Linked DNA regions of Xenopus tropicalis. The protein of the gene in region 5 interacts with the protein of the main gene of each other region in a pairwise test. Links are inferred from orthologs where the notes say so. Each region holds a gene or a part of one and is shown on either strand. Other genes may lie near its edges. The genes, in order: sall1, topors, zcchc7, atf2 and sumo1.

What was found.
Region 1: the proteins of sumo1 (region 5) and sall1 interact in a two-hybrid assay, tested with the Homo sapiens proteins (2 studies listed by BioGRID, with this or other methods). The link is inferred for Xenopus tropicalis from reciprocal best matches to the Homo sapiens genes SUMO1 and SALL1.
Region 2: the proteins of sumo1 (region 5) and topors interact in a two-hybrid assay, tested with the Homo sapiens proteins (2 studies listed by BioGRID). The link is inferred for Xenopus tropicalis from reciprocal best matches to the Homo sapiens genes SUMO1 and TOPORS.
Region 3: the proteins of sumo1 (region 5) and zcchc7 interact in binary tests that used the Homo sapiens proteins (3 or more experiments, as listed by UniProt). The link is inferred for Xenopus tropicalis from reciprocal best matches to the Homo sapiens genes SUMO1 and ZCCHC7.
Region 4: the proteins of sumo1 (region 5) and atf2 interact in binary tests that used the Homo sapiens proteins (3 or more experiments, as listed by UniProt). The two-hybrid records come from large-scale screens. The link is inferred for Xenopus tropicalis from reciprocal best matches to the Homo sapiens genes SUMO1 and ATF2.

The regions. Positions count from the first base shown.
Region 1 is NC_030680.2:50,892,643-50,896,165, forward strand, and holds part of sall1 (sal-like protein 1), read left to right. Parts: intron 1-640; coding exon 641-3,523. UniProt on the Homo sapiens protein: Transcriptional repressor involved in organogenesis. Plays an essential role in ureteric bud invasion during kidney development.
Region 2 is NC_030677.2:115,117,239-115,119,435, reverse strand, and holds part of topors (E3 ubiquitin-protein ligase Topors), read left to right. Parts: coding exon 1-2,163; 3' UTR 2,164-2,197. UniProt on the Homo sapiens protein: Functions as an E3 ubiquitin-protein ligase and as an E3 SUMO1-protein ligase. Probable tumor suppressor involved in cell growth, cell proliferation and apoptosis that regulates p53/TP53 stability through ubiquitin-dependent degradation.
Region 3 is NC_030677.2:109,181,023-109,183,506, reverse strand, and holds the end of zcchc7 (zinc finger CCHC domain-containing protein 7), read left to right. Parts: coding exon 1-335; 3' UTR 336-1,982; downstream 1,983-2,484.
Region 4 is NC_030685.2:64,415,381-64,419,582, reverse strand, and holds the start of atf2 (cyclic AMP-dependent transcription factor ATF-2), read left to right. Parts: upstream 1-1,385; 5' UTR 1,386-1,542; intron 1,543-4,202. UniProt on the Homo sapiens protein: Transcriptional activator which regulates the transcription of various genes, including those involved in anti-apoptosis, cell growth, and DNA damage response.
Region 5 is NC_030685.2:52,313,278-52,317,336, reverse strand, and holds the start of sumo1 (small ubiquitin-related modifier 1 precursor), read left to right. Parts: upstream 1-1,241; 5' UTR 1,242-1,345; coding exon 1,346-1,357; intron 1,358-4,059. UniProt on the Homo sapiens protein: Ubiquitin-like protein that can be covalently attached to proteins as a monomer or a lysine-linked polymer.

The DNA.
Region 1 (3,523 bases), on a different chromosome or scaffold from region 5:
TGCCAAGAATTCTAGTAAACTATTTTCCTTTCACTAGGCTAGTTGTCAGTTAAACTTTGTATATCGTGCACATGTTTTTTTCCCTTTCAAACCTTTTTTTATATAGTTTGATCAGTTTAAGTTAGTGTGATTGGTATAGTTTTCTTTAGTTGTGTCAGCATAGGTTGATTGGTATCTAAATGATTCCCAAGTAGACAGGGCAAGCTGTCAAGTATATTGGAGGCTACTGAAAATGAACAAGGATGACAAGAACTGGAACGTTTAATGAGTGCTTTAAATTGTTGATTTGCGCCTAGCGGGCAACTAGACAATAAGGAGCATGAAATATTGGAAATCAATATTTTCTATGGAATTTCATTATTGCCAAATGTCTGCTGTTCATAGTATTTTATATTTTGATGGATCATCTAATGGAAATGATTATTGTTAGACACCAGCACTGATGGTTTCCTCGCTAATTTTTTAGATTAAATTATTACTAAAAAATTGACCTGATCTCAATGTTTTCTATTTATTTATTTTTTGTGTGTCGTTTCTTCAGTTGCATTTTATATGAATGACAGCAGCTGCAGAAAGATAGAAAAATAAGTTTGGTTATAAAAATAAATGTAATGTATGTCTGAATTTCTCGCCCCTATAGGAAACACAGAGAGGGGTCAAATCCATCGGACGCCCAAGAACAAGGAGGCGCATGTCTGTAGCAGATGTTGTGCAGAGTTCTTTGAACTATCAGATTTGTTGCAGCACAAGAAGAACTGCACTAAAAATCAATTGGTTCTAATTGTGAATGAAAATCCACCACCTCCCGCTGAAGCCAGCTCTCCTATTCCCCCCTCGGATAATCCTGATGAGCACATGAATGACACAGTTAATAACTCAGATCAAGCAGACTGCAGTGACCTTTCAGAGCATGGTGAGCACGGCAAGCCTGACAAAGAAGAATCCATGGAGGTGGAGTTTTCGGAAACTAACAATAGCAGCAGTGGTTCTAACAAAGTGGACAATGGTGATTCAAGCAGTAATAATCCCACATTGGGTACCTCAGCTATCACAACTTCGCTACCTCAAGTAAGGGATCTGACAGCCTTGGGCAACTTCTCTATGATCAACAGCAATGTCATCATTGAGAACCTTCAGAGCACTAGAGTGGCAGTGGCACAATTCTCCCAAGAAGCCAAAACTAAGGGGGCAGCAAACAATAAGCTGGCAGTGCCTGCACTCATGGAACAGCTCTTGGCTTTACAGCAACAACAGATTCACCAGTTGCATCTGATTGAACAAATCCGTCACCAAATATTACTGTTGGCATCACAGAGTGCAGACATGCCCACTTCAGCTAGTGGCCCTCAAGGGGCTTTAAGAGTATCTGCCACTCCACTGACTACTCTGAGTTCCCATTTGTCCCAGCAGCTGGCTGCAGCAGCTGGCTTAGCACAAAGTCTTGCTAGCCAATCCGCGAGCATCAGTGGTATGAAGCAACTACCACCCATACAGCTACCTCAGAGCAATCCTGTTAACACAGTTCCATCCATCAGTAGTTCCTCTCCAAATATGAATGCATTGGCATCCACAGTTACTTCACCCTCCTCAGACAAAGTACCTTCAAGCACCGGTGGCTCACAGGTCAGTAACCCACCAGCACCTGTAACGTCATCACCAGCTTTTGCAATAAGTAGTTTATTAAGTCCTGCATCCAATCCACTACTACCTCAGCCTGCCCCTAACACCACACCTTTCCCTGGCACATTGCCCAGCATAGGAACAACAGCAGAGGATTTAAACTCACTGAGGAAAAGTAAGCCACCCAGCGTGACTGCTTTTGAAACTAAGAGTACATCTGATGAGGCATTCTTTAAACACAAGTGTAGATTCTGTGCTAAGGTTTTTGGCAGTGACAGTGCCTTGCAGATCCATCTACGTTCTCACACCGGCGAGAGACCATTTAAATGCAACATTTGTGGAAACAGGTTTTCCACCAAAGGGAATCTTAAAGTTCATTTTCAGCGTCACAAAGAGAAATATCCCCATATTCAGATGAATCCATATCCAGTGCCGGAACATTTAGACAATATTCCTACAAGCACCGGTATTCCATATGGGATGTCTATCCCACCAGAAAAACCTGTAACAAACTGGCTGGACACTAAACCAGTTTTACCTACCTTAACAACATCAGTGGGTATGCCTCTCCCACCAACAATTCCCACCTTGACTTCATTTATAAAAACTGAAGAGCCACAACCTATAGCTATTAGTCATCCCACTGCCAGCCCACCTGATTCAGTAAAAAGTGAGACCGCTACAGAGCCACTTTTAAAAAAAACTAGTGATCTTCCAGATGAGGCTGAGGCTGCGATGCCCATTCTAGACAAGGAGGAACAGCAGTCTCAAAATTCAGATTGCATCCAAAATCTTAATACTTCTGCCTGCTCTCCCACAACTGGCTCTGGCATCTCGGCCTCATTTCCAAATCCACTTTTGCCTCTAATGTCAGAGCAATTTAAAGCAAAATTTCCATTTGGAGGACTTTTGGACGTGGCACCTGCATCAGAGACTTCAAAACTTCAACAGCTTGTAGAGAATATTGACAAAAAGTCAAGTGACCCAAATGAGTGTGTTATTTGTCGCAGAGTCCTGAGTTGCCAGAGTGCTCTAAAAATGCATTATAGGACACATACTGGAGAACGACCATTTAAATGCAAAATTTGTGGTCGTGCTTTTACAACTAAAGGTAACTTAAAGACTCATTACAGTGTCCATCGTGCCATGCCACCTCTTAGAGTTCAGCATTCATGCCCAATTTGTCAAAAGAAATTTACAAATGCTGTTGTACTTCAACAGCATATTAGGATGCATATGGGAGGGCAGATTCCTAATACTCCTATTGCTGAAAGCTATCCTGACTCCATGGAATCAGATACTGGGTCCTTTGATGAGAAAACTATTGATGATCTAGACAATTTCTCAGATGAAAACATGGAAGATTGTCCAGACAGCAGTGTCCCAGACACCCCTAAATCTGTTGATGCATCTCAAGACAGCCTTTCTTCTTCCCCACTGCCGCCTGAAGTTTCAAGTATCACTGCTTTAGAGAATCAAATGAAATTAATTAATGCTGGACTTGCTGAACAGCTCCAAGCCAGTCTAAAGTCAACTGAAAATGGGTCTATTGAGGGTGATGGTATGACCAATGACTCCTCATCTCTTGGTGGTGACATGGAAAGCCAAAGTGCTGGAAGCCCTGCTGCCTCTGAATCGACTTACTCCATGCATGCTTTGTCTCCTTCCAATAGCACAAATGACTATCTGAAATCACCCAACACAGATGAGAAGATTCATCGAGCTCTGTCTCTTGACCCAACCAGTGGACTGTCCCCTACACCTGCTAATGGAGGGGCTTTGGACTTGACATCTAGCAACACAGATAAAGTGATCAAAGATGAACATTTAGGTGTGCTATTTCCTTTCCGAGAACGGGGTAAATATAAAAACACTATATGTGATATTTGTGGCAAAACCTTTG
Region 2 (2,197 bases), on a different chromosome or scaffold from region 5:
CGTCCTTTTTTGCTTCACCGCACAGACCATTTCATACATGAGTTTGTTAACTTTGCCCGATGCCCTTACAATATTGAAGCATATGATCAGCATGCAAACTATGATTGTCCTGCTCCTTCATATGAGGAAGGAAGCCGTTCAGAGTCATCTGTCATCACAATATCGCCAGATGAAGCAGATACCAGAGATCCAATTATTCCTTCTGCTGGTCCTGGTGTTGGCCAGACAGCTTGGGATGATGAGACCCCTGGTCCCTCTTATTCCACACTTGAGCAAGCCTCAGTTGCTGTATCCACTACACTAGATATCTCAGAAAGCTCAGACGATGAGCCACCCAGCATAAGACAGACTTCACAAGAAGTTTCCAACAGTGAACCCACAGAAAACCTGCAGGATCAGTCCTTTCCAACTGATGACTGTGTTATAGTAGGGTATGTTAAACCACTGGCAGAAAGAACTCCAGAATTAGTTGAATTGTCATCCGACTCCGAGAGCTCATTGAGTGAGGTTAAGACAGAAGATGCCAAAAAGCCTACGATTAAACCATTTTTCCTAAGTGACAGTAGTGAATTGAGCAGGTCATCATCATCTTTGTACACACCTGCAAAAGAAAAACGTTCACGCAAAACCAAGGGAAAAACCACATCTAGCAAACATTCCCATTCCAGGAAAAAAGAGAAGGGAAAATGTCGACTTGATTTAACTTCTAGAAAGGATAAGGGGGATTTGAACAGTAATTATGCTTTGTCCAGATGGAGGGATAGGTCAAGGAGTTCTGATTGTTATTCTCGTTCTTCTCGCAATAAAAGCCACAACAGTCGAAGGAGGCATTGCAGCAAAAATAATTTGAAACCCAGGAGTCCTGAAAAGAGCAGGCATAAAAGTAGGAAAGGAAGGAAGAAATCTAGTAGTAGGGATCGAAGTCTGTCTTGGAGGAGTAGGACTGTGTCACTAACTAGTGAAAGCTCCAGAGAGAGATGCGAGTCAAGCTCTAGAAGCCGAAATCGAAGTAGGGGTAGGTCACGAAGTCATGATAGTGACAATGATTTTTCTTCCAACAACTATCGCAGTTCTTATCAATGGGAATATACCTATTACAGTCGAAATCGGGATAGAGATGGCTATGAACAGTCCTACAGGAGACGGACTTGTGGTCGAGGACGTTATTCAAGACCCTCTGCTAGCCCAGAATATAAAATTCAGTCTTACTCTGAAAAGAAAGATACAAGAAAGGAGAGGGGATACATTGCTAGTAAACAATATCGCCGTGAGCGATACAGGTCAAGGAGTCGCTCAAGCAGTCAGATGAATACATCAGGGACTGAGCATACCAGATCTGACAAACCAAGTGGAAAAAGAAAATACAAAACACACCATTTGGAAAAGCAGGAAAGGGAAGGGAACAATCGAGAAGTTCCTTCTGCCAAAGAAAAAGAGGGAGGTCTGCAAGCAGGCAAGACTTCTCTTGGCAATCATACTGGTAGTCTCAAAAATGATTTAATGGGTTCATCCTCTGAACCTAAGCAGAAGTTAAGAAAAAAGGCAAGAAGCCCAAGTGTGGAAATAGTATATGAGGGCAAAGCAGTTGAAGGGGCAAAGCACCACAAAAAGAAGAAGAAAAAGAAGCACAAGAAAAAACGACGCAGGGAACACACTAATTCTCCAGCTGCTTCTCCCATCATTATCACCATTGACAGTGACAGTGACACCCCAATGGTGGAGGATCTCCCATGCAATGACCACAGCTCCCTGGTACCTGAAAACAAAACTAGTATTGACTCAACTAACTTCATGCACAGCCAGTCGCCACCTACCTCGACCACAGTAAGTACCACAGAAGTACTAAGTGGAGAAAGGGCAGACTCTGATTCCAAAGCCTCTGATTTATGTTCAAGTAACAGGCACTTAGATGCTGCCACTGGAATACTGGATGGTTTACATTTTGATGATAGCTCTGATGAACAGAATCTGCTCCCTGTACAAAGTCCTCCTAACATACCGGATCTCTGTGAAGTAGAACCTTTAGCAGCTGAGAGTTCCTTGCCAGAGTCTGATCCTATACTGGACAATGTACCACCTACATCAACTTCAGAAATATCTGAACTTCATAAAAGCTTTGCTGAGAGTATATTTGACTTTGATCTCTTAAACAATGTAACATAGCACCAGTTTCCTGTTAAGACTGTTGGACAGGAGA
Region 3 (2,484 bases), on a different chromosome or scaffold from region 5:
AAAAGAAACGTCCTAGTAAAAAAAAGAAGCAGGGTACCCTCATGGATGAAGAATGTGCAGAGACAAAGCAAACGAAGAAGCGTAAGAAAAAAAGATCTGGCCTTCAAGAAACAGAGGAGGATTTCCCCCGTGGACGCCCCAATGATTACTTAAAGTATAAAAAATCTTCAAAGAAGCATGATGGCAGCAACCTGTTCAAGGAAGACAAGAAAAATTTGCTTAAAAAAGGCTGGAGGAAGAAACATAAGGGCAAAAAGGGAGACAGTTGTGCTGTTGACCAGGACTTGCTCATAATTAAACAGAAGAAAAAGAATTCAAAGAAAAGGGTTGACTAGTCACAAAGCAGCACTGCATGAACAGATGTAATTGGATATTATAATACCTTCCATATACTGGAACCATAATCTGCAGGAACACAACATATTGTGGAGATCCCTGTTTCTCCAGATCTAAGTTAATATCACATATAACAAGCCTTTGAGCTGATAATTTAAAGAAACTATATAAATTTTTTATTAATGTATTTTATATATGGGTATGGATTCTTAATATTGTACTACGAGCAACCACCTTATAATAAGGGACTCAGTGTTTTACAGTGTATATGCTGCTTCTCTATTCATTCACAAATACACACATAACATACATTGTTTTACAACTCATTGTACGGGTTTGGTTTCAGTAGCAAGGAAGAATTTCTTTTCTTTTCTTGCCAAACTTCACCTAATCACAGTTTTGCTTTAGATGTGCTTATAAGGTGGTTTCAGTAGAGTGGCAAATACGGCTAAGCTGCTGAAAACTGTACAGTATCTGTACATTCAAATACATCCGGTTCTGATAGGAACATTTTTCAGTGTGTATCAGTGAGCTCTTTTGAAGGATCAATTCATCTGTCCCTTTAAAAGAGAATGGTATAATTGGGAAACATTTATATGGTCCCAGGAAAATTTGTTCAGTATTTTTATATACCGTATGTACTGTAACCTTATGTACTTTAGAACGTTTAAAACAAATACTTATTTTAGCAGTTAGATTTAGGGATACAAGTGCCAAGGGGGCCAAGTTCTGTGTATTCCTATATTCTTAGATTCATCATGACCTGTTTCTTTACATACTATGCTTTAGAAAGGTGCAGATAGTTGTTGGTTTTGCATACATTTACCTAGGTCTAGCTTTTTGAGGTTAAAAATCATCTTTGGTTCTTAAAGGGAAATTTAAAGAATAAGTAAATGAACTTAAAAGAATACGTAAGCCTTTTTTTAATCTCTAAAATTGCTCTGAATAGTGCCCTGAATAACATCTTTTCTCCCTGCATTCAGTTTCATGTCATTTCTAAATTACAAGTTGAAAATTGCAGCTCATTTCAGCTACTTCCTGGTCTACAATGAAGCTCTGCCCCCTTTTCTTTTCTGAGCTCTCCTTGTCTCTTTGAGCATGATGGTTAGATAGGTGCCTACTGTGCGTGCCTGATTGCTTTTTATTGAAGCAGAGGCAGCAAGCATGCACGGCAGACACCGTTTTGACTGTTTACAGTCAGACAGAGCAGGAAAGCTCAGAGAAGCAAAGGGGCGGAGCTTCACAATAGACTAGGAAGTAGCTAAGAGAGCTGAAGTTGAGCTGTTAGTGATACAAAATCTGCTGGGAGAAAAGGTATGTTCTTCTGGGAGCTTTTGTGAGTATTTTGGGGGATTTTAAAGTCAAAAGGCTTGCGTAACCTTTAAGTACACCCCAAATAAGTATGCAGATTTTTTATTGGTTTTCTGTGTTGTTTTCATCCTGCAGATACTTGTCTTCAAAACACCTCCTTACATTGTTTGTGCCATTGAAATAATACAAATTGTATTGCAGATGTTAAACATTTGAGTCTTGAGGAGATTATTAGTCCCTAACACTTAAAATGGCCACACATTATATTTCATGTTGATATTAAAGCAATGCAATTAATTGTATCTCAAGAAATAAATAAAATCTTCCATGTGCAACTCTTTAGAAAGTTTGTGTAAAGTGAGCAAGGTGGATTGTCCAGTCACTTACTGAATAAAGAATCACTGTACAGGTATGGGACTTGGGGTTTTCCTGATAACTGGTTATTCAGTCATTTGGATCTTCATACCTTGTCTAATCATATAAACATTAATTGAACCCAGTAGGATTATTTTACCTCCAATAAGAATTAATTATATATTAGTTGGGATTAAGTATACAATGGAGTCTATGGGAGATGGCCTTCCTATAATTCATAACTTTCTGGATAATGGGTTTCCAGATCCCATACTAGTACTAAGTTCTAAAGGTTATTTATTCATAATCTAGATCAGTGCTGTCCAACTGAATTAATTAAAGGGTTTTTCTGTTAAATGAATGCCATATAAAGTGTTTAATACAGCCCTTAGCTGGAGTTTTTTGGGTTCAAGTCCAGCCCACAGTCCACTTGGACAGATATGTTCTAGATCAGTGCTGTAGTATCAAGGGCCAGAATTTTTG
Region 4 (4,202 bases), about 12 Mb from region 5:
TAAAGGCACTCTCAGGAAGGAGGGGAGTTATTTATATCATAGGATATTCTAGATTCTTTGCAGCATTTCATGTGTAACTCTGCCTTAGCTGTGGAGTTGAAGTAATGGTCAGCAGCCTATATAGGAACACGTTTTACAGAGTCCTCCATTCACATGTCCTTTGACTTCTAGTTCAAAGTGTTTGGGTTTCACATAGAGCTCTGCCATAAAATTTCTGCAGCCCTGACTAACTACTGTTACTGAACAACAGATAACATTTTGCCAACTAAGGTGGATCATGCTGTCAGTACAACATAAACTTTAAGATTTGATTGACAGAAAAGCATTCCAGGACAAGCTTCGCCTGAACGCAACAGAAAGCACCTATACCTACACCTACTTAGCCCTGAGCAGGGTTCAGCCCTTCTAGGTGGTATGTTTGTAAACACTGGAAGCTTGAAGCTCTGAGAGCCCCATGGCCCTGGTTGCCACTGTGGGACTGAGTGTGGAAGACAGGCAAAATACCAATGTCAGTGACCACTCTGCCTGTCTTTCCCCTGTAACATGGTGCTGAATTAGGGCAGACTGAATAAGTATGGGAAACTGGGTTCTTGCTGGTGCTTAATGACCAGCAAGGGAAGCCACCTAACCAATCCTGAGCCTTTCCTGGGCTGGTCTGGTTACCAAGGCAGCAGCATCTTCCTCCTGCACATAGAGCTGTGGACCAGAGCTGCTTGCCTCTCACAGCCTTAAATCAGTGCACCAGTTGTCTCACTGTGTTCCAAATGCATATTGCTCTTACCTTTAAATCATATACATATATACCATATATATTCCCTTGCTGTGTGAACTATGCAAGCATCCTGATATTTGTCATTTTTATCCCTGTCTTTATCAAAAAAATGTTGCCACTGTCTCTTTACTAAACATTAAGGAGTCACTCCATGTCCATTCAGACTTAAACAAGTGACCTTTTACAGTGTTTATGTCACCATAACACAAATCTGTGTGTGAAATTAATACTGTGACAGAATCTTCAATAAACAAAAAAACACTAAAATGATGGCAATTTCACTTGACCCTGGTTTGAACAAAACCCCTTTCCCTTTTAGTCAGACTGCGATATGAGGCTCTAAGGGTGTCAGGTACTGCTGCAACCAGGAAACGTAATTTTATGTTTGCTGGCACAAGTCTGAACTTTGATCCGGGAATAGAAATGACTTTTTATATTAGGAGCTGAAGTGGTGAAGGGAATATCAGTCAACCAACAAGAAAAAAAAAGTGTTTTTATTTAAGTATTTTTTTATTCGTTCGTTAACAAAGGAAGGCAGTGCGATCAGAAAAAAACCAGATTGAGAGTTGACCTAACACGACTTCCTAGCAGCCACCGACTGCGTACAACTCAGTTACGCCCACTCATCCCTCCCACAAGCGGCTGCGTAATGCGTCACTGCGCTTGCGTAGAGTCGTGACGCCAGTCTCGCGTGAGGAGACGCGGTGTTGGGCTTTTCTGTGGGACTGGGAAGCTGCTGGGAGCCTGCACTTGACAGCTTATCGGGAGGTGTAAGTAGCGTTGTGGGACTGCGGGCTGTGTTAGGAAAGGCTGGACTGTTGGGCAGAATGCACTTACATGGATTCCCGGGCCCCCCTGCTGTCAGTGAGCTGCAGACTTGGAAAGGGAGGGCGGGAGCTATGGTGCCTGGATGTTATTTACGCTGCTGCTGCTTGTTTTGTCACAGAGGTTCAAGTCCCTGTAAAGCCATTGTGGCTCTTCCGAAGTCTGCGGCTCACTGACAGCAAGGGTCCGATAATCCAAGTAAGAGCAGCACTGCCAACCCCCCTTAATTCCCAAACCCACTGGGTCTGGGACTGCCCCCCCCCCCCATGGGGGCCCTGTCTGTAAACCACAAAACAACACCACCTCAGGAGATCTTAAACACAACAAATCCCTCACCTATAGAAAGAATCCTACCAAGATTTCTGGGGGTGGTGTAAGTTGTAGTTCCACAATGTGTGGGGTGCATGACTGCCCAAGTATCCTAATATAAGCCCTTGGGTGCAATGTCATGGAGACTGGCCTTCACCTAATGGCATCCTTGCACTACAGTACATTCCTGAGAGGTTCCTATGGGCTCCTAGTGGGTGCAGCATTCTGCACCTTTGCTCTAATCCTGTTTGTTGTATCATTAGCCACTTCATTCCTTTTGTAAGAGCTTGCATGGATATCTTGACTCGATTTTCATGTGACCGATTGGATACAGTTTTACAATGAAACATGTTTTCCCTGTAATAATCAAATGTGATTGAGTTAAATGAAAATCGCATACAGTTTCAGCCGAATTTCGGGAGATTTGTGTTGGAAATTTCTGTATAGCTAGCCATAAACAGAAATAGTAAAACGAGATTTAACTTGTTTGGATTCCTGGCCATGCTGCCTGCCATTGACTTGAATGGTGCTAGTGGTAGGTGTATTTTGGTTCTGTGTTTTTGGGCTATGAAATAAAAACACAACAAGGGGTATCGTATCTTAAATCACCTTGTGCCCCTTTACTGTTGTTCTTGTTGGTTGGGAAATGCTTTAATGAGCAGGAGTAGTGTTTGGGGGGGGATTGAATCTGAAACAATCTTATATAAGATAAGAATGGGAACTGTCAAGCTTTCAGTCATATTTAGGGGAGCAAATGGTAATTCACCCCAATTCTCACCCTAACTGACCTTCAAACTGAGCCACCCTCACTACTGCCTCAAGCCCCCCCCAGAAAGGCCGGGTTCCATAGTATGTGAACCACTGCTATAAGGTATCACTGGGTCGGGGAAAGGAATATAAAGAAAAGAAAGAATAATAACTTGCGTCTTTCAAAGTGATTATAACATGGATTGCTGTGTTTGTATGCACGTATTGCTGTGACTATTAGGGCTGAACTACATAGAGAGATTTTGTTGGATATGGTGATTGCAAACAATCACATCTTATAAGTCTTATGTAGTTGTGCGGGTCTGTCAGTGGTGCAGCTGGTATAAAAGTGGAAATGCTGAGCTTTTATCTGACAAGTAGTCGGACAGACTTTTTCTCATTGAAATACACTGACATATGCAGATACATGAAAACAAGAACCCATCTGACTTTGAGAATCTGGTTTTGTAACATCCCACATAATTTAAACATTTTTAGAAAGGTCTTTTCAGTACATATTTGACAGCATACTGGTCTACTTTATATAGGGTTAGTTCACTGTTAAACTCTTTCATGTAGACAGGAATATACTGAGGCAATCTGAAATTGGTCTTCAGTTTTTTCCATCACTACTTTAATTTGGAATTTCAGCAGCTATCTGGTTGGTAGAATCCAATTTGCCCTAATAACCAGGCAGTGGTTTGAATGAGAGACTTGGATATGAAAAGGAGAGTGCTCAAAAAGATACTGTATATACTCGAGTATAAGCCGATCCGAATATAAGCCGAGGTACCTAATTTTACCTAAGAAAACTGGAAAAATTTATTGACTCGAGTATAAGCCGAGGGAAATGCAGCCGCTACTGCAAGTTGAAGTGATATCACCCCCCTCCCAGCAGCTAATTAGCAGAACAATGTGAAAGCATCAAGATAGCAGCTCCCAGTATATATCAGAATAGTACGCAATAGTAAGAAATCCAAGTGCGGCTTGGGATTCCCCCAGTTACATGGGAGTAGGAGAAACAATAGGTTACCTGAAAGCAGTCCTAATGTGTAGCGCTGGCTCCTTGTGAAAGCTCAGACTCAGGCACACTTTACTGCTGCGCTGCAAGTTGGAGTGATATCCCCCCTCACTCCCAGCAGCCAGCAGAACAGTGGGAAGGGAGCAAGATAGCAGCTCCCAGTAGGTATCAGAATAGCACTCAATAGTAAGAAATCCAAGTCCGGCTTGGGACTCCTCCAGTTACATGGGAGTAGGAGAAACAATAGGTTAGCTGAAAGCAGTTCTAATGTGTAGCGCTGGCTGAAAGCTCAGACTCGGGTACAATGCACTGAGATGGCGCCTACACACCAATATTACAACCAAAAAATACATTTGTTGGTTCAAGAATACAATTTTATTTGCTATGTAAACAGTGTAATTTAGATCTAAAACTATACCATAAAAATCAGTATTCCTTTAAAATTTACTTTGGGTTGTGTTAGAAAGTGCTTGGCAGCATCTATTACACAAACTCCAGCCTGGGTCTCCCACTTCAAAGGCCGTTGTG
Region 5 (4,059 bases):
TAATTATTATAACAAGGAGTTAGCGCTAAAAAAATATACCACCAAGTGTAAAAATTCTATAATATTTTAATCAATCATTAAATCAATACAAAAAGATACAAGTCATAAGTTAAAAGATACAATAGGATATAGTGATAATCAAAAACAGTTCGTTAAAACTAAAATGTTGGCCCTATTAGTTCATTAAAAAAGTGAACTAGGATAAATGAGGATGGTACAATAAATACGTGCATAAATAGTCATTTAAAAAGCTAAACGTATTTATTGTACCATCCTCATTTATCCTAGTTCACTTTTTTAATGAACTAATAGGGCCAACAATTTAGTTTTAACGAACTGTTTTTGATTATCACTATATCCTATTGTATCTTTTAACTTATGACTTGTATCTTTTTGTATTGATTTAATGATTAATTAAAATATTATAGAATTTTTACACTTGGTGGTATATTTTTTTAGCGCTAACTCCTTGTTATAATATTTATATATTCACTGTGAGGATTAGTTTGGAGGAAGGAGGCTATTTATGATATTCTATTCACTATTTGGGTAAGAGGATTGTTGTTGGGTAATTTAATTTGTTTTTTAGAATAATATTAGTCTTTCACGAACTACACATAAATTTATTAGAAGCGCGGGTAAGGTTTATTCACACAATTTTGATAATTATGTCTATTCTCCACCCACCCTATGCCTCGGTATCTGTTATTTAGTCTCTTCCCAATGTGTCCTCTAATATAGAGGCATCAGGGGCTCTCAAGGGATCAGATTGACAAGATAAGATAACCAATTTTTTTTTCATATAAGCAATTGTCTGTAATTTGGCTCATTCATTTAACCAGTTTATATAAACATTTGTGGTCAATTTCAATCATGCGACGCAACCAAAAAGGTTAAGAATCACCTACTAAAACGTCAAAAGCCACGTAAAGCCAGGTAAAGCCAATCTACTATGTAACGGGGCCTTTTAATGATGTGAGGCTGGCAGTGCCAAAGCCATTAGACGCCTACTATTAATGCTCGGCTTTGGAGAGGTTAATGCTCTATACAGAAAAAACACTGGATATCAATGGTTAAAGGCTGACGTTCGCATTACAATATGGACACAAAAGCGCCACCTAGTGCTCAGCGTCTGTGCAAGCGCATACCCCTACCATTTGCCGCAAGCCGCAGCAGTGCGCGTCAGCAAAATGTGGGCGGTGCCGCATGTATCGGAAATGAGGTCATTCCCAAGAACCGGAACACCTTCCTTGTCTGGTTCTCTTGTGCTGTTATTGTGCCCGGAGGAAGGAAAAGCGTAGAGCGGTCCAGTGTAGCGAACCGATACCGGCCGAGAGCAGTTAGCATGTCTGATCAGGTGAGACACTTTTGTGGAGTGGGCGGGAGAACGAGAGAAAGTCTCTGGGACGTGTGTGTCTTGTTTTGTGTGTCTGGAGACCTGCTTGTAGATGTAAACAAGTAGGTCTCATGGCTACACATTAATATGCAGCTAAAGTAGTACATGCGGCCCATAACCAAGGGCGGCAGCTAAGTCATTTACTTTCATTTTATACGACACTTAGACTATTAGAGCTGGTTGCTATGGGTTTCTGCTGCTGTGCACTTTTGCTGGATAAACTGCTCTATAGGACCCACACCCCGTTGTGTGTCGTGTAATTTGCTTTATGTCTTATTGTCCAGTATGTGTATCTTCTCCTGTAGATGTTATTATCTGTGAGTAATTGCCCAGTGGTGGTTGGCGAAGTGAGAGGCCTAACAGGAAAGCCAGAGATATATTGGCCCATATAGTTATTTGACCTATATAAAGTATATATTAACCTAACAAGTTTCAGCAGCTTTAGCCTTATGGGGTCTCACACAGCATTGATTTGTTACAGTAGGGTAAATCTGTTAGCCTGGAAGAGCTCAAAGCATTTCAGAACTATCAGGTACATAAATTAAGTCTATTTATGAGCATCCACTAAGTGTTTGTAGATACATTATTATGTTTGGTTGAAAATATAACAATCGCGTTTAACCCTTCCAAACAAACACCGCTGCACACGTATACACATGTTAATTTAATTGTAGTGGTAATTCCCATTACCCAGGGGAGGTATCATGTTAAGCTGTGTGTAGGTATGTGGGAGTTAACGATTGATCTCTTGTAGTACACTCTGCTTGTTTATATTGTATGTAATGTTCAAGCACATCTTGTTTTCTTGCATGACTTTCATAGTTTAGGATCCCAATCTTATCTTTAATGCAGCCACCTAAAGGGTGACGGTTTAAACATTCAAGTGGACTACAGGCCAAAATGATTAGATCCCTGTGATGTTGGGCAGTACCAGCTAGTCCTGTCACTTCAAACTTTGCTGATGCCGCATTCATGTGGGCATGGGGACCACTGGGAGCCCCAAATTTCTGTCTGGCCCAATTAAGTGCACTTTCAATGGTGCGACGGATTAAATACCAGTGATGCACGCAGATGTTTCTGTTGAAAGCTGTTTTTCCCATTATTGGTATTTATTGCCTTACATTTAGGGCAACATTGCGTACATGCATTTGTGTCAAATGTATATCACTCTGTTATTTTGTATCTCAGTCTGTGGGTATGTGTGAACAAGTATTCCCATTTCATCATACACCTCTAAAATAGTGTCTGAAAAGTTGCTTTTTGTACAGCTTTACTGAAAAAAAATTTAAATACTTTGCTAGCACCATTGAGCAATTCCATTCACTGCTGGGTGCTTTTCCAAGATGTGCAGAAGAGTTAGTAGGGCTCCTAAATTATCTCTGCAAGTGTAATTTCAGTCTCTAACTTCCGCGCAGTTAGTTGTGTGTAAAACCACTTTCATTTGAGGTACGTAAGTGAAAATGCGCTTCTTAAAGGACAAGGAAAGTCGAAATCTATTAAGCACACTATTAAATAGTACTACTATTGCTGTGTAAAAACGCTATATTTCTGGCTTGCCCAATGAAATATTTACAGAGATACACATACTAGAACTTACATACTTGTTTCAGTGAACGGCGCCGCCATCTTGTCCAGCATGTCTGTATGGGCTATTGCTGAAAAGCACAAGCCAGCCCCCCTCCGATCCCCTCACCTGCCACAAACCCTCCACCGCTCCCCGCTTCTGCCACAACCCCCCCCCGCTTCTGCCACAACCCCCCCCCCGCTTCTGCCACAACCCCCCCCCGCTCCTGCCACAACCCCCCCCGCTCCTGCCACAACCCCCCCCTGCTCCTGCCACAACCCCCCCCTGCTCCTGCCACAACCCCCCCCTGCTCCTGCCACAACCCCCCCCCGCTCCTGCCACAACCCCCCCCCCCCTGCTCCTGTCACAAACCCTCCGCCGCTTCCCACTCCTGCCACAAACCCCCCGCCGCTCCTCCCACCTGCCGGCTCTGCATGTCACAAATGCAGATGCATCACTGCATATCAACTCCCCCGGCTCCCCGCTCCTGCCACAAACCCTCTGCCGCTCCCCCCACCTGCCAGGTCTGAATGTCACAGAGCAGAGTTCTCCTGTCGGCTGCGTCGCCATGGCAACCAGACGCTCCTGCTGTGTGCGCATGCGCTGCCTACAGTCCCAAGTTGCCAAGTCTGGGCAGGAGCGTTGCATTATGGGAATCTTCTCTACCCTGCTCAGCGTTTTTTTTTCCTGTTTGGCTTCTGATCTTCTGAACAGGTGAAGTATGGGGAGACTTAAGGGCACTATTGAGTCAACTGAAGGTATGCCTGCAGTTTGGGATTAACTCTTTATTAGCCTTTCCTTCTCCTTTAAACTTTAATGTAGGTGTGCTTGGCACAGCTCAGTCCTTCCTGTCTTGTGAACTAAGGCACAACACAATTGCACCAAGCACATTGACTCTTGCAACTGCAAAGATGCTGGAATTCTGGGAAAAATATTGCATTGTGGAAAAAACTAGGCGATTGCAGTTAAAATTGCACATGCAGATGTATAGGTACCCTGGTGTCTCATCAGTTTTCATTGTAGGATGTAAATCAATTGGCAGCTAGGCCGAGTTTGTGAAAGGCCACAAAGACCTTCCCTAGAGAAGCAGCATCTCTCT